Macaca fascicularis: one gene and its partners. The main gene of each other region encodes a partner of the protein of the gene in region 3 in a complex. Links are inferred from orthologs where the notes say so. Each region holds a gene or a part of one and is shown on either strand. Other genes may lie near its edges.

Region 1 (4,058 bases), on a different chromosome or scaffold from region 3:
ACACCTCTAGGATTGCACTGTCCAATATGGTAGGTAGCCAATTGTTTAAACTTATATTTAAATTAATTAAAATTAGATATTTAAAATTAATTTCCTGAGTTGCATTAGCCACATTTCAAGTGCTCAACAGCTATTTAAATTAATTAAAATTAGATATTTAAAATTAATTTCCTGAGTTGCATTAGCCACATTTCAAGTGCTCAACTGCTACCATACTAATCAGTGCAGATACAAAACAGCATCACTGTAGAAAGTTATGTTAGGTGGCACTACCCTAGAGAATTACAATTTACAGAGAGGAACTCCGGCATGCAAATTATTCAAAGCAAAACAAAACAATAATTCACTGACACTTCTCCCTGCAAGATTTACTTAAAAACCTCATAGAGCTAAACCTTAAAGGGATGAAACTGAGGAAATGGAGAGTGAACTCAATTCTGTTCACTCAAAACATATTAAGTACCCACTGTTTGTTGGTGACTATGTAAACTAGAGAGGAACAAAACATTCTCTGCTTTTCAGAAGCATTTGGTCTTGGAGGGCAGTGGGGAGGTACATATAAACAAACCTCAGTCGAGGCTAAATCCAGTAAGTGCTAGAGCAAAAATATGAGAAAAGTCACAACTGGGGATGGCTTTACAAAGGCGGTCGTGTTTAGCCTAGGTCTCAAAGGATGAGAATGTGTTCCACAGGCTGCGAAGGGATAGTGCAATCAAGACAGAGGGAACAGCATGTGTAAAGGAATAAGGGCAGGAAATTGAGTCTAATGGCGTTTGGTGTGATTAGAGTATGGCTGTATGAAGGATATAATTAGGGATGAGGAAAGACACCTGGAGTGTAATGCCAAGGAATTCTGTGGATTTTGGAGAATCTCGTTTTTCCTTTTCGAGAAAGTAACTGTGTTAGGATGTCAGCTCTCAAAACCCTGGATGGTGAGGTAAAAGCGTGGAGGCAAGGATTAATGAAGAAGTGACTGAGACCAGTCAAGACGGAGCTAAAGCCTGAACTTGCAAAGTGGAGATAAAGGGATAGACATGCCAAAAATCAGAGACAGAATCAAATAAGATTAAGCAAATAAATTTGCATGAGAAGTAAATGTGAAGAGGCAAAGACATCACTAGATTTCGGGCTGGATAGACAAGAAGCGTGTGGCTATGCTACCTGAAAAGCCCAACCTGAAAACCCAAGGTAACAGTATTACTCCTCTATCAGCTCTAGGACCTACAGCCAGGATGGATGGATAGCTGATAATGTCAATTTGCACCACCTGTCACTCCTCTAAGCCTACAGCAGACATCCTTGTCCCGAGGATATGGACATAACAAATAATGGTGATGACAGATACAACCTTTCAACTCAGTAGAAATGAAACATCCCAAGAACAAATGTAGCCAATGTAAAATAAATTGTAAATGTTAAAAAAAAAAAAAAAATTATGTGGCTCTGATCCTGCAGCATCTGAAGAAACTCTTGGAGCCTGGGGCAATTATATACATGCTCAAAGATCTAGGTCATACTTCGGAGACAATTCAGGTAGCCTTCTGGATATCTGAGTGTTCTAGGGAAGGGATGTTTCTTACTTTGAAGCCAAAGGCTCCCATAATTACCTGCACATTTGGTCTGTTTCTTTTAGTTGCACCTTCAAATGACAAGTAAGACAAAGAAGCTGGCTCACTCCCTCCAACATCAACTTTGAATATATCTCCAGATTTAGCTGTCACTATGCCAATCACATGGTCTCCTTTCACTGGAACATACTACAAAAGGAAATAGAATGAGAAAACATCCATAAATGAGAAGATACCATTGGAAGATACCTTCAGCACGTCCTTCGTGGTTACTTTATTGTCATTAAAGAGAAAGAAATCTGATCATATGCCACTTTCGGTAAAAGAAAATCACATCATAAAGTGTCAGGTGTGCAGCTTCTGGTAGTCTGTTAATTGAGTCCAAACCCCATTATCTCTTCAGCACCCCAACCAGTAAGTTCCTAGCTTTGTGGCATAAGTTCAGTGGCAAAGGAATCCTTACAACCAAGGAAGCCCATTCCATAGTTAGACAATTTTTTTCTGTATGAAAGTTCTTACCTGTTCTAGGAGAAATTAACTCCCTATGACATCCACTCATTGAGCCTGGTCTTGCCCTCTGAGACTTGAATGGGCAAGCCTGCTGCTCCCTGACGTTTGGAGTTTTGAAGACTTTATAATCATGACTCACGGTCTCCAAACGTTTTTCTCTCCTGGTCGCCCTTCTCAGGCTATGTTCCTATTGTTCACGGTCCCTCTAAAGGACATGCAGAAGTGGGCACAAGACTACGGTGGCTCTAGGTTTGCCTGAACAAGAGGGCCTCAGGATCTCATCCCTTCTTCTTTTGGGAGGTCTTCTCAAACCAGGGCTATCACTCTCACGGCCGCACCACCCCTCCGCAGTCCCAGCTCACCCGCTTCTGCTGAGAGTCCACCCAGTAAACACCGCCGCCGCTGCCACTGCCGGGCTCCTTGTGACGGAGGCGGCCGCACTTGGTGACCAGCAGGCGGTCCCCACAGCGCCGCAAGCCCGGGCCGCATACAACGCGCACCCGCGAGCGCGCTCCAGCATTCAGGCTCAACGGTCGCTCCCCAGCACCGCCAGGGCCTTCCGCGTCCTCCTGTTCCGGCAGGAGCAGCTCCTCACCCGGCAGCACCACCTGACCTAGTACTGTGCGTGCAGCGCGCGCCCTGCTGCCCGCGAGATATTCAGCCGCAACAGACACAGGTTCGGCCATCGCGTGCGCCACCAAACACCGTTTCCGGTACTCTCCTTCCGCTTCCGCTCTGCTTCCAACACCCGCCCTTGAGGACTTTCCGTTTCCGGCGGTAGCGGTCCGTTAGATTTGGACCAGTTTATGAAGCTTAATGGCTGTCAGCTCACGGGTCCTTGTCCAAGGTGGCTGTGATTGTGTCTGTAGCCGACCACCTGTCTTACAGCCTGGCCGCGGGTCGGTATGAGAACTGCGCAGCTTGATCCATCAAGAAGCCTCCACTTTCAGTGTCTCGGGTCCCGTGTTTTGTGACCGGTCGCATCGTGGGGATACGAGATGCTCCCACTTAGAGTTTCCCGGGATCTCTGGAAGCTGAGCAGAGGGGCTTTGAAAACTGGACGCTGGGGCCGGGTGCAGTGGCTCACGCCTGTAATCCCAGCAGTTTGGGAGGCCAAGGCGGGTGGATCATTTGAGGTCAGGAGTTCAAGACCAGCCTGGCCACCATGGTGAAACCCTGTCTCTACTAAAAATACAAAAATTAGTCGGGCGTGATGGCATGCACCTGTAATCCCAGCTACTCGGGAGGCTGAGGCAGGAGATCACTTGAACCTAGGAGGCGGAGGTTGCAGTGAGCCGAGATGGCGCCACTGCACTCCAGTATGGACGACAGAGCGAGACTCTGTTAAACAAACAAACAAACAAAAAAAAAAAAAAAAAAGAAGGAAATCGGACGCTAGGTGGGCTTCTGGACCCTTCTTTCCGACTCTGCCCTCAGAAGAGTGGCTCACCTTTTAACAGGGAAAGTATATTTTTTCAAAATAAATAAAACCTTCTTGGTTGTTAGAGATCTAGTCACATTTAGAAAACACAGACAAAAATAAAATAAGGAAATAAATGATGTTTTATTCTTACCCGTTTTTCTCCCTTGCTACGTGGTAGTTCTGATTCTTTAGAGCCCAAGGTGTGGCATGAAATAGGTAATGCCTGATGAATGAACGAATGTATTCCTTTGGTGTGTATTTCTCCCTAGACTTTTTCCTCCTGCAAATATACATATTTCACATGCTTGCGATAGTCCTGCATGGCCTGGAATATAAGTAACTCAAATTTCCCTGGAGCACACTTAGTTGCCCAGGTGAGAAGCAGTTGAATTCCAAATCCACAGAGCTTCCAATCATCTGACTTTTGAGGTTCTTATTTGAAATCACTGTTTTCTCTGTCAACTGGAACCTTCAATTAGTGCTTGATCAGATTCTCCAGCAGTGGTAGAGTTCCCAGGGTCTGGGAGGCCATGACTGACTGATGGCCTTTAACTGCC
Region 2 (4,252 bases), on a different chromosome or scaffold from region 3:
AGCCATGTTCTCCCCACAGGCCCTGAATGAAGCCTTGAAGCTCTTCAAGACACACTCCCCTCAGACGTCTGCCATGCTCTTCACGGTGGACAACGAGGCTGGCAAGATCACTTGCCTGTGTCAAGTCCCTCAGGTCAGAACCACCTTGCACCAGTGGGAAGTGTTGGGTCTTAAGCTTGTTTGCTGAGGCCTGTGTGTGTACAACCTGCATTTAAAAGAGCCTGTCTCCTGCCTGCCTGTTGGTCACCTTTGCCAGTACCCCTTACCTAGGCCTCCTCATTGGTTGCATCTGTCTGGTTGATACTTGGCTTTGCCACTCTGTCCTGTCCTGGCAGGGGCCATGACTGCCCCCTGCACTAGCCGTAAAGTCTGTCTCGGCCTCCAGCAGTATCACCCAGGGCAAAGGAGTGGGTGATGGCTCCTCCCTCAATCCCATTTTCTGTCCTGACTTCCCCCTTCCCTTTCTTTCTTCTAGAATGCAGCCAATCGGGGCTTAAAAGCCAGCGAGTGGGTACAGCAGGTGTCAGGCCTGATGGACGGTAAAGGTGGGGGCAAGGATGTGTCTGCACAGGCCACAGGCAAAAACATTGGCTGCCTGCAGGAGGCGCTGCAGCTGGCCACTTCCTTCGCCCAGCTGCGCCTCGGGGATGTAAAGAACTGAGCGGGGGAGGAGGTGGCTTCTACTGGCTCCATCTGTCCAGCCGGGAGCTCTTCATCTGCTACAAGAACATTTGAATCCTGGGACCTTTTGAGAGCCCCTCCTACCCCGGCCGTACCTGGAACACCCTCACGAGCAGTCCTGTGACTCAGCGCCCCTTATACTTCTGCCCTGAGCCCTCCACATCAGTGCCATCTGTCGAGAACCACTACCCCCGCATTGCTGTTGATCACCACACTCGCATCTGTAGATAACAGCTCTCCAGCCTGAGCTTTCCGTGTCAGCAAGGACGAATCGTTTTTTGCTGCAGAGAATAAAAGGACCACGTGCAATACTTAATGCTATATGATCTCTATCCCTCTTCCCAGGTGGAGCTCGCTGTTTTGACAGCCCTTGGCCCCTGCTGTCTGTAGAATAAATGCTGTGGCTTCTACTGGCTGCTGTAGTGTTCACCTAGTCCAGCCCCAGAACCCTAAATTTTGGGAAAAGCCCCTGGGGTTGCCTCAAACGTTTGTGGAGGTTGAGGCCAAATAGGTAGGGTGACATGGAGCAAGGCGTTCATAATTCAGTAGATGGGGTTAGTGGAAGCAGAGAAGCCTTGGAGCTGCTCTCCCGCTGCCTTCCAGCAGGAGGGATGGATCAGGCAGCCCTGCACAAGTGGGACCAGGGCGCCAGGGACGCCGGCCGTTCTCCCTCCGAGCCTCCAGCAGGCGCTGTAGCGTCGCCCGTCACTCTCCCGACAGCCCTCACGCAGGCGCGCGTCTTTAAGCAACGGAAGAACCAGTGGGTGCGGCAGTGCGTTGGGCGGAAGCGGCTCTCAAGCCAGGAGCCGCCATGCCCGGGGACCACCGCCGCATCCGCGGCCCTGAAGAGTCGCAGCCGCCGCAGCTGTACGCGGCCGACGAGGAGGAGGCGCCCGCCGCCCGCGACCCAACGCGACTGCGGCCCGTGTACGCGCGCGCCGGGCTGCTGAGCCAGGCCAAAGGCTCGGCCTACCTGGAGGCGGGAGGCACAAAGGTGCTGTGTGCAGTGTCGGGCCCGCGACAGGCCGAGGGAGGCGAGCGCGGCGGCGGCCCGGCCGGATCTGGCGGCGAAGCCCCGGCCGCGCTGCGCGGTCGCCTGCTGTGCGACTTCCGCCGCGCGCCCTTCGCGGGCCGCCGGCGCCGCGCTCCCCCGGGCGGCGGCGAGGAGCGTGAGCTGGCGCTGGCGCTGCAGGAGGCACTGGAGCCGGCCGTGCGCCTGGGCCGCTACCCGCGCGCGCAGCTCGAGGTGTCGGCGTTGCTGCTGGAGGACGGCGGCTCGGCCCTGGCCGCCGCGCTCACCGCCGCCGCGCTCGCCCTGGCCGACGCGGGCGTTGAGATGTACGATCTGGTGGTGGGCTGTGGCCTGAGCCTCGCGCCGGGGCCCGCGCCCACTTGGCTGCTGGACCCCACGCGACTAGAGGAAGAGCGCGCCGCCGCGGGCCTCACCGTGGCGCTCATGCCTGTGCTGAATCAGGTGGCCGGGCTGCTGGGCAGCGGCGAGGGCGGCCTGATCGAGAGCTGGGCGGAGGCCGTACGCCTGGGGCTCGAGGGCTGCCAGCGCCTCTACCCCGTGCTGCAGCAGAGCCTGGTGCGGGCGGCGCGCCGCAGGGGCGCCGCCGCCCAGCCCTGAACTAGAAGCCTGAGCAACGACGGACGCAAGCCGAGGACCGTGCTGCCGCCGTCCCTGAAAAGACCCGCGCCGTCGGCCTCCAGCCTGCGTCGAGGTAAGCAGCCGGAGCCCTGGAGAGCACCTGGGTAGGCTCTAGCAGAGCCAAGGCGCCGGACAGCTGTGGTGTTGGAAAGGGTTTTTACAAACCTCGTTAAAGGAACTTTACTTGAGCCGGCTCTTAGCTTCGACCCAGTTGAGGAAACCTGTGAGCGCATCCTGACTCCCAAGTTGGAAACTTTAGCTGGACTTACCTGGAAGCTGGTACCTAGAGCTGCTGTCATTCAGGCCAGCCAGTGACCCCCTCCGATATAACTGGGCGACTTTTCAGAGGATGGACAAGACGACTGTGCCTTCTGTGTCTGAGCCAAAAGAAAGACCCTTTTATATTTGAAAAACGTCTTATGGTGTGGTTCTTCTTGGTCCGGGATTTAAGAGAGCAAGGCTCTTTTGTTCTTGCATCCCAGGTGTCAAGGGTCGCGGCGGCATTGCCTTAAACGGGTTCTGTTCCTTAGGCCCACGTGAACAGGAGACGGGCTGAAAAGAGCTGCAGAGCCTGAGGGGAGCGCTGTGATTTGGAGAAGCAGCTGCCCCCACATGAACCAGAGTTAGGGGAACTGCTGAGATACGACGAGAGTAGGGAGAGTTGGCCGGGCCGGCGGCTCACACCTGTAATCCCAGCACTTTGGGAGGCCAAGGCAGGGAGATCACCTGAGGTCGGAAGTTCGAGATCAGCCTGACCAACATGGAGAAACCCCGTCTCTACTAAAAATACAAAATTAGCCAGCACTAATAATGGTGGCATATGCCTGTAATCTTAGCTACTCGGGAGGCTGAGGCAGGAGAATCGCTTGAACCCGGGAGGTGGAGGTTGCGGTGAGTGGAGATCGCACCATTGCACTCCAGCCTGGGCAACAAGAGCAAGACTCCGTCTGAGGAAAAAAAGTACGGCCCCAGAAGTGCGCTGAGTGCACCTCGTGCCCCAACCTGGCTTGGTGCTGGGTAGCTGAAAAGGGTTTTGCTCTGCGTAGAAGCCATCTGTCCTTGGCCATGTGCAGAATGGCACAACCCGAGCCTCCACTGCTGGTGAGAAGTGGCACCCTGGTCCTACAAGGAAGACCCTGAGCAGCACCGCAGAGGGCAGGTGCACTGCTAGGAAGGCCAGGTACAACCTGACTGACTCACCACGAGGTGGGGTCTTTCCTGTGTCGCTACCAGCTCTGCTGGTTTGGGCTCAAGACTGCATGGTAGGAAGCTAGGTGACTGCCATTTGGAAGGCGGCCTGGTCCCCTCTCTGCACTCAGCTTCTCTAGGAAGGGCCGACCTGGGTCAGCCCAAGGACCAGAATGAGTTTCTGGGGCCACACCCAGAACCCCTGACCAGGAAAAATACAAATTTTATTTTTTCCCTTCTGACATAACGTGTCTTTCTAGAGCAGGTCTGAAATAGTATCACACCAGTGGGGAGAGGACATAATGTAATTCTGAAGGGTGACTTCCTAGAGTAGATGGGGAGTCTGGAGCCCAAAGAGGGCTGTGTGGGGTACACACTGAGAACATTCCAGCAGTTTCAGGGAGATTGGAAACTCAGGGAGATCTGCTGGCTATCTGTTGACTGGCGGTGTATCGGGAGGGGAGTGAAGATCAGCTGTGTCTGCATTCAGACAAGGCTGAGGGTGCCCTCTGAGGGGAGGGGAGGGGAGGGGAGGGGTGGGGTGGGGTGGGGGGTGGGGGTGGGGGTGGGGGTGGGGTGGGGATGGGCTGTCATCTGCCCCTTGCAAGAGAGCCTCAGCTTCATGAGGATGGCGACCTGGTGCAGTCCCAGGCCACCTCCTAACCGTGTCAGTCCCAGGACCATCATCTCGAAATGCAACCTCTAAAGAAGCTAAACCCACCACTACAGGTT
Region 3 (3,138 bases):
CTTTTTCAGTTGTGTTGTTTCGTCACTCTCAGGAAAAGCACCTTTCCACACCTGCCTGCATTTAACATAACTCGATTTTTTTCCCTCCCTTTTGCAGCAGTTGCGATTCTTGCAGCATCAAATGGCTATGGCAGCAGCAGCAGCACAAACAGCTCAGCTACATCGTCATCGGCATACAGGCAGCCAGTCAAAAAGTAAAATGAAGAGAGGCACGCCAACCAGTCCAAAATTCTGAGTCTTGCATTATTTTTTGTTCCTTTTTTAAAAACACAAGAGCATTGAATCAAAAGGATTGAGTTTCTACTTTTTGTTTTTTTAATGTGTCAGTCTTTTACATTGCTAGATGTACAAACTTTATACAGAAGCACAACCTTATCATTTTTAAATAAAAACAGGGAAATGGTTTAACAAACTAGGGTTGGTTTGCCTAAGTCATTGCTTTTTAAAAATGGTTTCACTATACATTATATGGAAGTGACCTAAGAAATAATAGAAACATCTTTCAGAAGAATGTAGTTTGATATTTATTTAGTATAAAATGTTTGTGCACAGTGTTAACAAATACAATTTTTACAAATCTGTTTTGAAAAGTGGCTATTTATTTGGGTTTCATACTCTTAATTACTTCATCCATCAATTTTTTAACTTCTTTGTGTCTTGTAACTGCTCGGCTCATGCAGTCCTGAAGTTTAGCTCCAGTTAGCCCGCTTCCACCTGAAAAATTATTTTGCCAATACTTTAAATCTATCACTGCTTTTCAAAAAACATTAATGTCATATCAAATTATGAAATAAAAAAATTGGATAACATAAATCAGGGTACAGTCTCAAGATCTGCAAGTTAGTTTCACAAGACCTCCAAGTGATTCTAATGTATGTCTTAAGTTTAAGAATCACTGACGTATACCATTAAGATGGAAGAAAATTTGAGGTAGCTAAGAAACTACAGTAAACTTAAATTAGGTAAATGAAATATCCCATATTCCATTTGGCCCTCCCTAATTTAAGGCTCACACTGAGTTTTCATCTACATATGTTTAGGACTGAAGTGGCAGGAACATGCCTGGTTTGTGAAGACAACAGAGCTTGCCTTCCTCATCCATTACTATTGTTAAGGTTCCTGTTGCCAGATGTTCCTCCTCTCCAGTAGGGTCAACTATAAGCAAAGTGCTATAAAAAGAAAAAAGTATAAGTTATCAATCCATGGAACAAATTTTACTTTAAAAATACTAAACATACTGTCAGCCTCCCAAGTAGCTGGAATTACAGGTACACACCATCACACCTAGCTAATTTTTGTATTTTTAGTAGAGACAGGGTTTCACCGACTTGGCCAGGCTGGTCTCGAACTCCTGACCTCAGGTGATACCCTGCCTCAGCCTCCCAAAGTGCTGGCATTACAGGCATGACCCACCATGCCTCGCCCTGCTCTACTATTTCTGAATGTGCTAAAATCCTTGGAAAATACTGAAGATAGCTTCAGGTAAATCTTTAGTGAAAGAATTAGAAATTAACATTACACAGGTATAAGTAAACCAAGGAACAGGTAAAGTGAACACAATTATCATCCAAATCAGGATGCTTATGAAAGCAGACAGGTTGACTATAAATAATTGTGCAGGGACAAGTATAAACTCAAGTGTCCAGGGAAAACTAGGATGTAGAGTCAGACTCATAGCACTTCCTGAAGAGTTAGAATGCTGAACATCAATTACCCAAATCTTAAATATAGAAAATTTTAAAGTAAGTTTGATTAACTTACTCATCAAACACAGCAAAGGAAGTTGCAACTGGATGAGTTCTAATATTCAAATAACTTTTCTTCTTTAAATTAACTTCTGCTAAAGCAGTTTCTTCATTTATAGTAACTTCAGGCAACTGTACTAAGAAAAGGCAAATTTGTAAAGTAAGTCTCTAAGAAACAAATGGTTTCTAAGCTTTTTTTTTTTTTTTTTAATTCACCTTTCCCTCGATTGAACTTGCCCAGAACATTTCTTTTTAAAAAGCACCTTACAGCCACTAAGGTAAATACAGAGGATATACATTGCTCTTCACAACATCTGACATGCCTACCTAGTGCTTATTGCATAATTTTTTTAAGTTTAAGAAGTCAAAATGATTTTTTTTTAAATTTTTAGAGATCGGGTCTTGTTTTGTTGCCCAGGCTAGAACTAAATTCCTAGCAATCTTCCCACCTCAACCTCCCCAGTAGCTGGGTGGGACTATAGGCATGTGCCACTGTACCCAGTTTTGAAATGAAAATGATTACTAATAGATAACATGTCTAGCTAATTTGTATATGCCAGGTACTGTTTTACGCATTTCCACATTTTCACTGTATTCACCTAATCAATACTCTTAGAAACTAAATACTATTATCCCTATTTTATTATAGATAAGGAAACTTCAGCACAGAGTGACAGAGCCAGGAATCAAACCTAAGTCTCTGCTTTAACCACTCTGTTACAATATTGTGCTAACTTCATTTTCTACCTCCAATTCACTTAACCACTCTATTATAATATTGCTGTGCTAACTTTATTTTCCACCTCCAATTATTTGTTCCTACCAATTCATCATTCACCAATGATAGGGAATATGCACAAGTTATTGAAATCTGTAACTAATCAGTCAACCTAGACTCCTTGCTAAGAAACTTCACTATTACTATGGCCTCACAGTAAAAAGAACAGAATCCATTCTAATTCTTTTGGCAATATCACATAAAGAACTATGAGGATACTGGCAGATCTTCACCAATGACCTAGCCAGAAGTTACAAGTCTTGTCTCCCTCTCCCACCATTATTAACACTATTATGGAAAGGACTGAAGTCCTAACCTAAGTAGACGGGTACAGTCAAAGCAGCACTCTAAAGAGCATTCAGTTAGAGAATATACAACTATCAACTATATTTGGAAAGTAATGGCAGTATTACATTCATTAATTTGGAAGCATACGAAAGCAAATGTACATTAAAAGTTTCACAAAACAGAACATTCTAACCCATTAGTGGGAATATTGTCGTTTTTGTAAGGCTGCTTACCATTTTTTAAAGCCGCTAACAAAGCAAATGTGCAGGCATCCAAAATGTTTCCATCATAGTCGAGGCAAATGAGATCACAGTATAGAACCCAGGC
Region 4 (3,970 bases), on a different chromosome or scaffold from region 3:
CTTCCCCTGTCCCTCCAAGGAACCTCCCCTGAATACGAGTGGCAGTTAATAAGGAACCCCCGGCCGGGCGCGCTGGCTCACGCCTGTAATTCCAGCACTTTGGGAGGCCGAGGTGGGCGGATCACGAGGTCAGGAGATCGAGACCATCCTGGCTAACACAGTGAAACCCCGTCTCTACTAAAAATGCAAAAAAAAAAAAAAAAATTAGCCGGGGGTGGCGGCGGGCGCCTGTAGTCCCAGCTACTCGGGAGGCTGAGGCAGGAGAACGGCGTGAATCCGGGAGGCAGAGCTTGCAGTGAGCTGAGATCCGGCCACTGCACTCCAGACTCCGCCTCAAAAACTAACTAAATAAATAAATAAGGAACTCCCATCCCTCTCTTCAAGTCGTCTCCCTCCCTCAGGGCCCACAAAGAAGTTGCAAACGGGTTTTGTCCTCTCCTGAAGAAGTGGAAGTTCTTTTCTTCTAAGGAAGTGGCAGATCTTCCCTTCGGTGTCTTCTCCAAGGGGTCTCCCACTTTTTCCCTTCTGTGACAGCCCTTCCTTCATATCCTTCAGGGACCCCACACTCTGAAGATAGCCTTTACATCCCTAATCCCCTTTGGGAAAACCCCCTGGGGCCCAGGTACTCACAGATCTAGCCAATCCCCGAGCCCCAGGCCGCCACAGCAGCAAGAGGGCAGCCTGGCTCAGGCCTCGGTTTGGCCGCCAGACCCTCGCTGCAGCGATCGCTACCGCCATCTTGGCTAGCAACCACTCAGCGGTAGGGCACTCACGTAGGCTAGATTCGGGGCTGCCCCTTTATGTGCCTGACACAAACTCCAGCACCATCTGACAAGAAAATCACCTTCTTCCCATTCTGTTGTAGATAGAATGCACAGAGATTTGGAGAAGAAAACCTATCTACCCAAAATTTTCCCCAGTCGCCTCATTGTAGTTACTCCTGTAACAGGCAAAGAAGAGGGCAACCTGACCACGGCCTCAGGGATTTAGGGCCCGGGGGCCCAGAGTAAAACAGGTCACTGCCAAGGCCTGCCTCCTGTTCTCAACTGTCCAATGGCGTTGCCAGAGTTAGGAGGTGGGACTGGGCGGAGCCAGATTGTTGGTAAACGCTAAGCCACGTGCGGACGCCAGGACTGACGGCCGAGCCCAGCGCGTGCGCAATGGTTACGCAGAGTGTTCGCAGCGCGCGCTGCCGGGCGGAAGTGATAATCGCAGCCGCACGTGGGGTCGGCGCGATGGAGGAGGAGATGCATACTGACGCCAAAATCCGCGCTGAAATTGGAACAGGGTGCAGCCCTCGGGGTCCCGGCTGCAGCCTCCGGCACTTTGCCTGCGAACAGAACCTGCTGTCGCGGCCAGATGGCTCTGCTTCCTTCCTGCAAGGTAAGAACTTACCCAGGTCTTTTGGAGAGGGACTACCATGTACCGTGCAACGGAGTGCCCATCTCCCCATGATACCAGCTGGTAAATGTCACTCCTGCGTTGATACATGATTTCTTGTCCGATTGAATACTACTACATACGCAGGGATACATACATCTCTCCCTCACGACTAGAAAGGAGAAGATAGCTCCATCTTTGTAAATATGTCTGAGAATGACAGGCGGGGCAGACCGTCCCCGCAAGAATTGATATTTCAGAATAGGGAAAATCACCTCACCAGGGTAAATATCGCCCTTAACTAGGTTCCTCCTCCTCACCCCCGCCCCCGCCCGCCCCACACACACGCCCGCTAGGTCCTTGCATCCCGGACTGACGCAAACCTGTCAATTTGCATACTCTGGACTGTGGCGGATCTTTCACCCACGTAAATACTCCTCAAATTGAAGATAATGTCACTGCCCTGGGTTGAAAAATACATCCCCACCGCTACCTCACTGCATCTCTCCACAGGAGTAAATATCCCTAAGATTAGGGCAAGTCTTACCTATAGGGCAAATATCCCCTTCCCCTAGCTAAATAACTCTCAGAACCAGATTAACTCCAAGAATATTTCTCTTTAACGTTTGAGACAGGAGGCTGGGCACAGTGGCTCACGCCTGTAATCCCCACACTTTGGGAGGCCAAGGCGGGTGGATCACCTGAGGTCAGGAGTTCGAGACCAGCCTGGCCAACATGGCGAAACCCCGACTCTACTAAAAGTACAAAAATTAGCCAGGCATGGTGGTGGGCGCCTGTAATCCCAGCTACTGGGGAGGCTGAGGCAGGAGAATCTCTTGAACCCAGGAGGCAGAAGTTGCAGTGAGCCAAGATTGTGCCATTGTACTCCAGTGTGCACGACAAAACAAGATTCTGTCTCAAAAAAAAAAAAAAAAATTTTGAGACAGGGTCTCACGATGTTGCCCAGGTTGGTCTTGAACTCCTGGACTCAAGCAGTCCTCCTCCCAAAGTGCTCATATAGGTACCAGCCACCACGCCCAGCCCCAATACATTTTAACAAAATCTGGCTGCTGTGTTGATTGTGGGGAGTATGGGGGAAAACAGGGAGGTGATGGTGGCTCCAGCCAGAACAGGAGTAGTGGAGGTGATGAGATTCTGGATGTAGTTTGAAAGTAAAACGGACAAAACTTACCTATAGTTTGGTTTGAGTGCGAGGAAAAAGAGTCAGGCATAACTAAGGTTTCTGCCCAGATCTGTACAAGTCTGGAAATCAGGAGAGAGACCCAAGCTGGACATAGGCAATTTGGAACTCTCTGGCTGTATATATGGTATTTCAGCCTATTGACTGAACGAAGTCAGTGTAGATGGAAAAGAGGTCCCAGGACCAAGCCCTAGGCCTTCCAACTTGAGCAGTCAGGGACTTGTGACAAGCAAGCTAAAGGAGACTCAGAAGGAACGCCCAGAGACTTAGGGGGAAACCGGGAGAGGGTGGTGACCTGGGGCCAAGAGAAGAGCGTGTCTGAGATGTGAGGGCTGACAGCTGTTTCGGCCTTACTGACAGCCGGGTCAATGGAGGGTTGATCATTTGGAGGTCAGTGGTGACGATGTTGAGCTGCCGCAGTGGAGTGGTGGGGTCACAGGAAAGGAAGAATAGACAGCTGTTCAGGAGTTTTGCTGTAAGAGGATCAGATAAGTGGGGCAGGAATTGAAGATGGTTGTGGGGTCAACAGGGGAGAGAATTGCTGGAGCCACGTCTTGAAGAAGGTGAGAGGGGAGGGACTCTTGTGCTCAGGTGAAACACAGGCAGTTCATCTGGAGCCAGAGGCGAGTTCTATTTTGGTTTCTCCAGTCCTCAGGGCAGTTTTTCCTGGAACTAAGCACACCTTCCGTGTAAGGGCAAATTGGGCATCCCAGGAAATACCGCCTTAACCAGGGACCTTCCCGGACCCTCCCTCAGGCTTAGCACTTATGCTGAATTGAGATACCTCAAGTTTCTTCGAACCTAAGAATTAAGAAGGGGCCGGGCGCAGTTGCTCACATGGGTTGCTCACACCGGTAATCCAAGCACCTTGGGAGGCCGATGAGGGTAGATCACCTGAGGTCAGTAATTCTTTTTTTTTTTTTGACACAGAGTCTCGCCCTGTCACCCAGGCTAGAGTGCAGTGAAGCGATCGTGGCTCACTGCAACCTCCACCTCCCAGGTTCCAGCGATTCTTCTGCCTCAGCCTCCCGAGTAGCCAGGACCACAGGCGTGTGCTCCCACGCCCAGCTAATTTTTGTAGTTTTTAGTAGAGACGGGGTTTCACCATGTTGGCCAGACTGATCTTGAACTCCTGACCTCGTGATCCACCCGCCTCGGCCTCCCAAATTGCTGGGATTACAGGCGTGAGCCACCTCGCCCAGTCGAGGTCAGGAGTTCTGAGACCAGCCTAGCCAACATGGTGAAAACCCGTCTCTACTAAAAATACAAAAATTAGTCGGACGAGGTGGCACGCACCTATAATCTCAGCTACTCTGGAGGCTGAGGCACGAGAATCACTTGAGCCTGGGAGGCGGAGGTTGCAGTGAGCTGAGATTGCACAACTGCACT
Region 5 (4,258 bases), on a different chromosome or scaffold from region 3:
TCCCAGCTACTTGGGAGGCTGAGGCAGGAGAATCGTTTGAACCCGGGAGGCAGAGGTTGCAGCGTGCAGACTGTGCCACTGTACTCCAGCCTGGGCAACAGAGCGAGACTCCGTCTCAAAAAAAAAAAAGAAAATCCTGTGAAGTAGGCCATGCTATTATACTCACTTTGCAGAGGAGGTAACCAAGGCTTGGAGTGGTGACATAACATGGGAAAACCTCTGAAGCCTACACTGATCTGCACCACCCCACCTACAGTCATGGTCAAAACCTCAGACTTACAGCATGACAGGGCAGGCAGGGGTGGGGTAGGGGATATGGAGGGGGCAGAAAAAGCCTGGTTGTACAACCTGGATGCCGCAAGAAAGGGAATACACACCTTTTGTTCTCACCTGGTTTTCAAAGCTTTCACACAGATCAACTTGTTTACTCTCTCCACAGAGCCAGCAACAGATGCAATGAGCTTCTCTTCTCCCATATACGTTCCGTGGCCCCTGATGCAAGGCAAAGGTACAAAGAAAGGATACCAGGGTAACTCGAGGTGACCTCTCTCCTTTCAAGAACAATGTGTTCCTCAAAGCTAACAAGCTCCCCCTGCAAAGCCTGGCTTCTGTGCTGGCTGCTTCCTCTGCCTTCAGTGCTCCTTCTCCAGACTGGCTACTTGGAAATCACCCCTCTCACTCAGGTCTGCTCAGGTGTCACTTTCTCCAGCAGGCCTACCTTGACTGTGCCATTGAAAACACAGCCCACCCCGTTGCCACCACTCCCCCACATTCCATTGACCCTGCTCCACGTTTTTCCCCATTGCATTATTGCCTAACATTCTCCGTTATAACTCCACCAGGACAGAGATTTTTCACTCTGCCGTTATATCCCAACTGCACAAAATATAAATATATGTTGAAAGCATTAACGAAAGAATGAATCTTAAGATTTCCTGGCCAGGTGCGGTGGTTCACGCCTATAATCCCAGCACTCTGGGAGGCCGAGGTGGGTGGATCACGAGGTCAAGTGTTTGAGACCAGCCTGACCAACATGGTGAAACCCCGTCTCTACTAAAAATACAAAAATTAGCCGGGCATAGTGGCGTGCGCTTGGAATCCCAGCTACTTAGGAGGGTGAGGCAGGAGAATTGCTTGAATCCCAGAGGCGGAGGTTGCAGTGAGCTGAGACTGTGCCACGGCACTCCAGCCTGGGCGACAGAGTGAGACTCTGTCTCATTAAAAAAAAAAAAAAAAAAAATTTCCTAGGGGCTGGGCATGCCTGTACTCCCAGCACTTTGGGAGGCCAAGGTGGGCAGATCACACTTGAGGTCAAGGGTTCGAGATCAGCCTGGCCAACATCGTGAAACCTCATCTCTACTAAAAATACAAAAATTGGCTGGGCATGGTGGCAGGTGCCTGTAATCCCAGCTACTCAGGAGGCTGAGACAGGAGAATTGCTTGAACCCAGGAGGCAGAGGTTGCAGTGAGCCGAGATCCCACCACTGCTCTCCAGCCTAGGCGACAGAGAGACTCCGTCTCAAAAATGAAAAAAAAATATTTCCTAGGATCCACTAGCCTTAAACTAACAGGTTAAAGGGCAATGCTATGAATGCTGTGCCCCTTGTATAGATACATGTACAGAAAAAAAAGGTTGAAACGCTAGTGTTATCTATGATGATGATATAATGGCTGGTTTTACTTCTTTTCTTACATAATTATCTCATTTAATCCTCATTACCGTATCATACTGTTATTATCACTATCTTACAGATGAGGAAACTGACCGTGGAGAGGCAATGCCGCTAATAAGATGTGATGGTAGCTGGACTGGAACCCCAACTGTCTGACTCAAGAGCCTGCCCTCGGCCGGGCGCGGTGGCTCACGCCTGTAATCCCAGCACTTTGGGAGGCTGAGGAGGGTGGATCACCTGAGGTCGGGAGTTCAAGACCAGCCTGACCAACATGGAGAAACCCCGTCTCTACTAAAAATACAAAAATTAGCCAGGCATGGTGGCACATGCCTGTAATCCCAGCTACTCGAGAGGCTGAGGCAGGAGAATCGCTTGAACCTGGGAGGCGGAGGTTGCAGTGAGCTGAGATCGCGCCATTGCACTCCAGCCTGGGCAAAAAGAGTGAAACTCTGTCTCAAAAAAAAAAAAAAAAAAAAAGAGCCTGCCCTCTTAACTACAACACACTGTACTGCACCCCTTGGATTCAAAATGTGTATAAATGGGTGCAGGCAGCACAATGTAACTGTTTGCCCTAAGCTCGAACAATTACGGATTCTAAACTGAAGAGGAGGCGGCCAAGAACACCCACCGTCCCCTCAGAGAGCTGAAAACTGGAAAGAGAGCCTGCGCCTAAACCTCCCCGGTTTTCCAGGTCTCCTACAAGGAAGGCTCCAAGATTTGGACTTCAGGCAGAAGACCCAAAAGTCACAGCCACCAGAGGTCAGGAGTGGAGGGTTTCAGGGAGCTGAGACAAACGCAGAAGGGGACACACAAGACGCAGGGGGCAAGAAGCGCGAGGCTCGGAAGCGAGGCGAGTAGGATGCTCAGACCAAGTGCCTGGGGTCCCGCGGGGAGTTAGACACACCGGGATACGAGGCCTGGACCACGTGCAGAGAGCCCTGAAGCCGCTCTATGAAGCCTCGACTCCCCCAAGTCCCCACGTACCGCATGAATCCCGTGTCCGTAGTGATTGTGTCCCCCGGCACCACTAGATGTTTCTTAGTGTCGCGACCCAGTCTCTCGCTAAGAGGCTTGCGAGCCGCTGGAAGCCTCATCTCCATCGCCATCTTGGCGCCAATGAGTTGCGCAGGCGCAGCTCAGCCGGGAGCCGCGATATCCGACTCCGCAACTCCTGGCCGCGTTCGGAGGGGCGGGGAAGGGCGGGGACTCAGAGCAGCTGCCAATGAGAACTCACGGTCTGGAGGCCATGTTTACAATTGGCAACACTAAGGCGAACCCGAAGGGAAGGGAGCCGAGCTGCCATGTTTACTATTGGCAAGGGAGCACCCGTGGAATAATACAATCTCACGTTGTGTGGGGTGTGACTTTTTACCAAAACTGTCTTGTACTCACCATCCCATTTATTGTTTACAAGAGTTAGCGATAATTGAGAAACGGACCTCTGAGTTTCTGTCCGATTCTAAGCTGCTGAAATCCGGTATTTTCTAAGAGAGAGCTCAGGAGGATGGAGAGATGGGATCTACAGAAAACACTATTTGAACAGAGAGAAGAGCCCCCGTCCACACGGTTCCTAGTAGCCCCAGTATTCTACATTGCTGCCGCCCCGTGGGTGCTGGCTCAGCATCATCATCTATACCTCCAAACCGGGCTCCAGATACTTCTCACTTGGTTCTGTTCTTTCATAAAGACTTCTTTAAGCAAGCTAATTTACTCCAATATTTCTTTTGGAAACAAGTTAAAAATCGTCTAACAGTATAGGTCAAACCTTGCAAGCCAGGTATATTTGGTAGGGAAGGGAAGTGCACACATAATACGAAGATGGCTTGCATTTAGTTACACAGCGAGTTGAGTGCTCTGTGTGTGCCAGGCGCTGTTCTAAGGATTCAGCAGGGAACAGACATGTCTCTGTGGGTTTTGCTGCGGCTCCGTTTTAATAGGAGCGTACCCCTCGCCCCTTCTCCCGTTCCCCACTACCGTCTCCCTCTCCTTGCCCTACATTCACAACAAACTAATTGGGAATGGTAATTCCCCATGCACAGGGACTCTAAAGAGGATTAAATGAAATCATTTACATCAACTGTGGTCAGAAAAGCAGGTAAACCAAGTCTGCCTCCTGAAGAAAGATCCATCGAACCAATTGTTTTATAAATCTCCAAAGCGACAGCATTTCTTCCACTTAAGCAAGGCGCACGACCACACTTAAGAAAGTCAGCCCTGCCAGGCAGTCCGTGACGTGAATGCTAGTGCCCCAAGGCCCTAGGTAAGTGGGCGGCCAGACCCTCGCCCTCCGCCGTGCTTGGAGGAAGGCGCTAGAGCCCAGCCCCTTGGTCCAGTACTGCCGGGGCCATAAGAGGGCGATGGTGTCCTTTGAGCCCGCGTAGCCCGGCGGCCAGGAAGCCAGGCCCAGCGAGCGGCCCTAGGCGGAGCGAGAGTGTAGTCCTGACACCATCCAAGTTCTTCCCGGGAGGGAGAGACGCGCACTCTCACAGCGTTCACATTCACGGAGCCTGTCGCAAGGTTGGCATTGTGGATACCAGTTTATGGAGGAGGAAATCGAGGCCCCAAAAGGAATGGAATTCACATTA
Region 6 (3,664 bases), on a different chromosome or scaffold from region 3:
GCTCACTCATTCTCATGCCTCTCAGTCTTTCAGGAGAGCATAACCACCTCTAAGGGGATGCTGAACTTGGGCCCCTGCAGCAGACTGCATTTCCCCAGCCCACCTGCTGTTCCTACAGTCTAATATTGACACTCCTCTCACTGAAGGGTGGGGTCCCTGTCCCCATCCCTTAAGCCTGGGTAGATGTGTCTGACTGCCTTGACCCACAGAGTCTGGCAGGAGGGACACTATGTGACTTCTGAGGCTAGGTTCTAAAAATATCATGCACATGTTGTCCATCTCATTGTCCTGGAAGGCTACCCTTGGAACCCAGCTGCCATATTGCAAGGAAGCATGGAGAAGCCACAGGTAGGTGTGCTGCCTGACAGCCACAGATGAGGTCCTGGCCAGCCACCAGCATCAGCCACCAAAGATGTGAAAGAGAAAGCTTTAGGATGGCTCCAGCCCCAGCCACCATCTGGCAGCAACTGTAGGAGAGAGCCTACGTGCAAACTACCTAGCTGAGCCTAGATAACCCAAGACTGCAGGACATAATAATAGAATGATTGCTATTTGAAGCCGCTGAGGTTAAGTGGCAAGAGATAAACAGACACACAACCCCTCTCTGGAAAGGATGAGGAAATCTGCAACCTCAAAAGGAAAAGGGAGGCCCACTCGACTGCAGTGTGGAAGCCCGGTGTAAAGGGAGGGCATGAGAGGACTGGAGAGGTGCCAGGTGTGGACCATCCTGGGACACCAGCCTGGTCACTTTTCTAGCACCGCTCTATGCCTTCTCCTGTCAGTGTCGCAACCCACTGGGTTCATCCTTCCACTTCCACACTTGGGGCGCGGGGAAGGGCTGAATGTAGGCACCACTGGTCCCGAGGGCGTGACGGGAATTTCTCCTTCGGCGGGCGCCCACCTCCTGGCACCCGGGACACAGCTCCGGGAACGGCTGCGGGCTCAACCGCTGCTTCCCCGACAGCGCCACCGCAGTTCCCCGGAGACAGAAGTGAAGCCGAACCGCCAGAAACCGTAGATCCAGGGAGGTCGGTGCCGCGAGGAACTCCAGTTCTCCGGGACCGGAAGTGACAGCGGACCGCCGGAAACCGTAGATCCAGGGAGGTCGGGACCGCGGGGAGCTGTAGCTCCCCGGAACCGGAAGTGATAGCGGACCGCCGGAAACCGTAGATTTGGGGAGGTCGGAGCCGCAGGGCGCTGTAGTTCTCCCGCGAATCAGAGAACTAGGCAGAGAGCGGAGCTGGCGGCCGGGCAGCATGGCGGGGCTGGAGCTCTTGTCGGACCAGGGCTACCGGGTGGACGGTCGGCGCGCCGGGGAGCTGCGCAAGATCCAGGCTCGGATGGGCGTGTTCGCGCAGGCTGACGGCTCGGCCTACATCGAGCAGGGCAACACCAAGGCGCTGGCGGTGGTCTACGGCCCGCACGAGGCGAGTGGGCGTGCGGGATGGGAATCGCGTGACCGCGGGATCTGCGGGGCAGCCGGGCTGAGCACAGGTTCGGGGACTTGAGAGGTGCGGCCGGCGCGCCTCAGTCTACACAGCCGATGCTCAGCACTGCATCTCACTCGGAGTAAACGCAAGTCTTTAGTGTGCTGCGCGGTGGTCCTGCCTTTCTCATCGGTCTCTGTGCCTGCGCTCTCCCTCCTCTTTGCGGCTCTTCAACGTGCCAGGCACTCCCCCACTCGCTCCCTCTCCTCTCAGCTCTACTCCGACGTCACTCCTTCTCAGACGGCTTTATCCATGCGGTACTTCTCTCCCTACAATAAACCCTTGTCTTTTGTGCATCTACAATCTCAAATGCCTATTTTGCTTAAGCATTTTCCCGTTTCCTCGCTAGAACATAAGCTTCCTAAGGACAGAAACTACATAAAACTCTCTGGTTTCATTGCTGTGTTTCCAGCGCTGTAACTGTGCCTGGCCAGTGAAGGTATTGAAAGAGTGTTTGTTTAGCGCATGAGGGTAGGAGCTCTGCTTTCCAGGCGGAGGGAACCAGGAGGGCGAAGACCACGGTGGTGAAAACAAGCAAGGCACTCATGCATAACAGAAAGACTGCTGGTGGGGAAAGAGGGGATAACTCTAAATAAGGTTGAGAGTTCCCGGGGAGGTGAGGAATTAGGGTTTTGTAGACCAGGGAAATGATTTGGGATTTTATTTCATATGTAATGTGAAACCTTTGTAAGGTAATTAGGATTTGAGTGTGAAGGTGAGACAGAATCAGCCTTGATGTTTGTAAACTTGGGTTGGCAGGGAATGGGGCAAGGATGGGCACAAGGAAGCCAATTAAAAGATGCCAGAGGGCAACACATGCAAGACAGTGCAAAACAGGGGGCTTTGTTTTGGAGGTAATGTAGTTGCCCCTTGCTGAGGCATTGAAAGTGGAGGGAGAGGCAGACCCACAGAGGACAGTGGCGTGTGAGCTGGAAGGAGTGGGCCTGGCTCATGTGTCCGTCCTCTTCCAGATCCGGGGTTCCCGGGCTCGAGCCCTGCCGGACAGGGCCCTAGTGAACTGTCAATATAGTTCAGCGACCTTCAGCACAGGTGAGCGCAAGCGACGGCCACATGGGGACCGGAAGTCCTGTGAGATGGGCCTGCAGCTCCGCCAGACTTTCGAGGCAGCCATCCTTACACAGCTGCACCCACGTTCCCAGATTGATATCTATGTGCAGGTGAGCCGGCTGCAGTGTCAATCCAGGGAGGGGTGGGTGTGATGGGGTTGGGGAGAGAGTCTGATAGACTCACACCCTGGGGTCCCTGCAGGTGCTACAGGCAGATGGTGGGACCTATGCAGCTTGTGTGAATGCGGCCACACTGGCAGTGCTGGATGCTGGGATACCCATGAGAGACTTTGTGTGTGCGTGCTCAGCTGGCTTTGTGGACGGCACAGCCCTGGCGGACCTCAGCCATGTGGAGGAAGCAGCTGGTGGCCCCCAGCTGGCCCTGGCCCTGCTGCCAGCCTCAGGACAGATTGCGCTGCTTGAGATGGATGCCCGGCTGCACGAGGACCACCTGGAGCGGGTGTTGGAGGCTGCTGCCCAGGCTGCTCGAGATGTGCACACCCTCTTGGACAGAGTGGTCAGGCAGCATGTGCGTGAGGCCTCTATCTTGCTGGGGGACTGACCACCCAGCCACCCATGTCCAGAATAAAACCCTCCTCTGCCCACACAACCCTCACTGTACGTTAATCACCCAATAGCACTTCAGAGCCATGTGAAGCCTGGCAGAGCCTGGTCTGGTGCTGGCTCCTGGGGATGACCAGGGCCCCTCGCCCACACATGAACTGCCTATCTCTGTGTAGCCTAATTCAAACCCTGAAAAGAACAGTGGATTAGGGGGTTGCTGTGGGGGAGGTCCTGGGTGGAAAAAGCAACATGTCCCAGTAAGGACTCAAGGCAGCTGAGCAGGAGGCAGGGCCTGGCAAGATGAGCAGGTCATTGGACTGAGGAATCTGTTACCCTTACTCTGGCACATCCGGGGCCCTGAGCAAAGGGCTGAGGGAGAACTCAGCTGGCTCTGAGTACCCAACCTAGAGATGTGGGGGCCATGTCCCATGGCCTCTGGACTATGGCCTGGAGCCCCTTGGGCTTTTCCTGCTGCTTACCTTGGGCTCTAAAAAATGCAACAGCCAGGCATGGTGGCTCACACCTGTAATCCCAGAACTTTGAGAG

The links.
Region 1: EXOSC8 (region 3) and EXOSC3 share a complex: the UniProt entries of both Homo sapiens proteins name them as parts of the RNA exosome core complex. The link is inferred for Macaca fascicularis from reciprocal best matches to the Homo sapiens genes EXOSC8 and EXOSC3.
Region 2: EXOSC8 (region 3) and EXOSC6 share a complex: the UniProt entries of both Homo sapiens proteins name them as parts of the RNA exosome core complex. The link is inferred for Macaca fascicularis from reciprocal best matches to the Homo sapiens genes EXOSC8 and EXOSC6.
Region 4: EXOSC8 (region 3) and EXOSC5 share a complex: the UniProt entries of both Homo sapiens proteins name them as parts of the RNA exosome core complex. The link is inferred for Macaca fascicularis from reciprocal best matches to the Homo sapiens genes EXOSC8 and EXOSC5.
Region 5: EXOSC8 (region 3) and EXOSC2 share a complex: the UniProt entries of both Homo sapiens proteins name them as parts of the RNA exosome core complex. The link is inferred for Macaca fascicularis from reciprocal best matches to the Homo sapiens genes EXOSC8 and EXOSC2.
Region 6: EXOSC8 (region 3) and EXOSC4 share a complex: the UniProt entries of both Homo sapiens proteins name them as parts of the RNA exosome core complex. The link is inferred for Macaca fascicularis from reciprocal best matches to the Homo sapiens genes EXOSC8 and EXOSC4.

What each region holds. Positions count from the first base shown.
Region 1 is NC_088389.1:61,537,498-61,541,555, reverse strand, and holds the start of EXOSC3 (exosome complex component RRP40), read right to left. Parts: upstream 2,801-4,058; 5' UTR 2,765-2,800; coding exon 2,441-2,764; intron 1,758-2,440; coding exon 1,608-1,757; intron 30-1,607; exon of another isoform or gene 1-29. UniProt on the Homo sapiens protein: Non-catalytic component of the RNA exosome complex which has 3'->5' exoribonuclease activity and participates in a multitude of cellular RNA processing and degradation events.
Region 2 is NC_088394.1:70,113,694-70,117,945, forward strand, and holds EXOSC6 (exosome complex component MTR3), read left to right. Parts: upstream 1-1,452; 5' UTR 1,453-1,492; coding exon 1,493-2,311; 3' UTR 2,312-3,762; downstream 3,763-4,252. Other genes in the region: AARS1 (alanine--tRNA ligase, cytoplasmic), read left to right, coding at 20-133, 476-661. UniProt on the Homo sapiens protein: Non-catalytic component of the RNA exosome complex which has 3'->5' exoribonuclease activity and participates in a multitude of cellular RNA processing and degradation events.
Region 3 is NC_088391.1:16,553,999-16,557,136, reverse strand, and holds the end of EXOSC8 (exosome complex component RRP43), read right to left. Parts: coding exon 3,045-3,138; intron 1,883-3,044; coding exon 1,762-1,882; intron 1,170-1,761; coding exon 1,063-1,169; intron 715-1,062; coding exon 599-714; 3' UTR 501-598; downstream 1-500. Other genes in the region: SUPT20H (transcription factor SPT20 homolog), read left to right, coding at 98-235. UniProt on the Homo sapiens protein: Non-catalytic component of the RNA exosome complex which has 3'->5' exoribonuclease activity and participates in a multitude of cellular RNA processing and degradation events.
Region 4 is NC_088393.1:48,537,984-48,541,953, reverse strand, and holds the start of EXOSC5 (exosome complex component RRP46), read left to right. Parts: upstream 1-1,170; 5' UTR 1,171-1,235; coding exon 1,236-1,383; intron 1,384-3,970. Other genes in the region: BCKDHA (2-oxoisovalerate dehydrogenase subunit alpha, mitochondrial), read right to left, coding at 631-738. UniProt on the Homo sapiens protein: Non-catalytic component of the RNA exosome complex which has 3'->5' exoribonuclease activity and participates in a multitude of cellular RNA processing and degradation events.
Region 5 is NC_088389.1:13,185,575-13,189,832, forward strand, and holds the start of EXOSC2 (exosome complex component RRP4), read right to left. Parts: upstream 2,801-4,258; 5' UTR 2,780-2,800; coding exon 2,658-2,779; intron 493-2,657; coding exon 391-492; exon of another isoform or gene 378-390; intron 1-377. UniProt on the Homo sapiens protein: Non-catalytic component of the RNA exosome complex which has 3'->5' exoribonuclease activity and participates in a multitude of cellular RNA processing and degradation events.
Region 6 is NC_088382.1:153,749,584-153,753,247, forward strand, and holds EXOSC4 (exosome complex component RRP41), read left to right. Parts: upstream 1-1,148; 5' UTR 1,149-1,256; coding exon 1,257-1,427; exon of another isoform or gene 1,428-1,744; intron 1,745-2,458; coding exon 2,459-2,665; intron 2,666-2,756; coding exon 2,757-3,116; 3' UTR 3,117-3,164; downstream 3,165-3,664. UniProt on the Homo sapiens protein: Non-catalytic component of the RNA exosome complex which has 3'->5' exoribonuclease activity and participates in a multitude of cellular RNA processing and degradation events.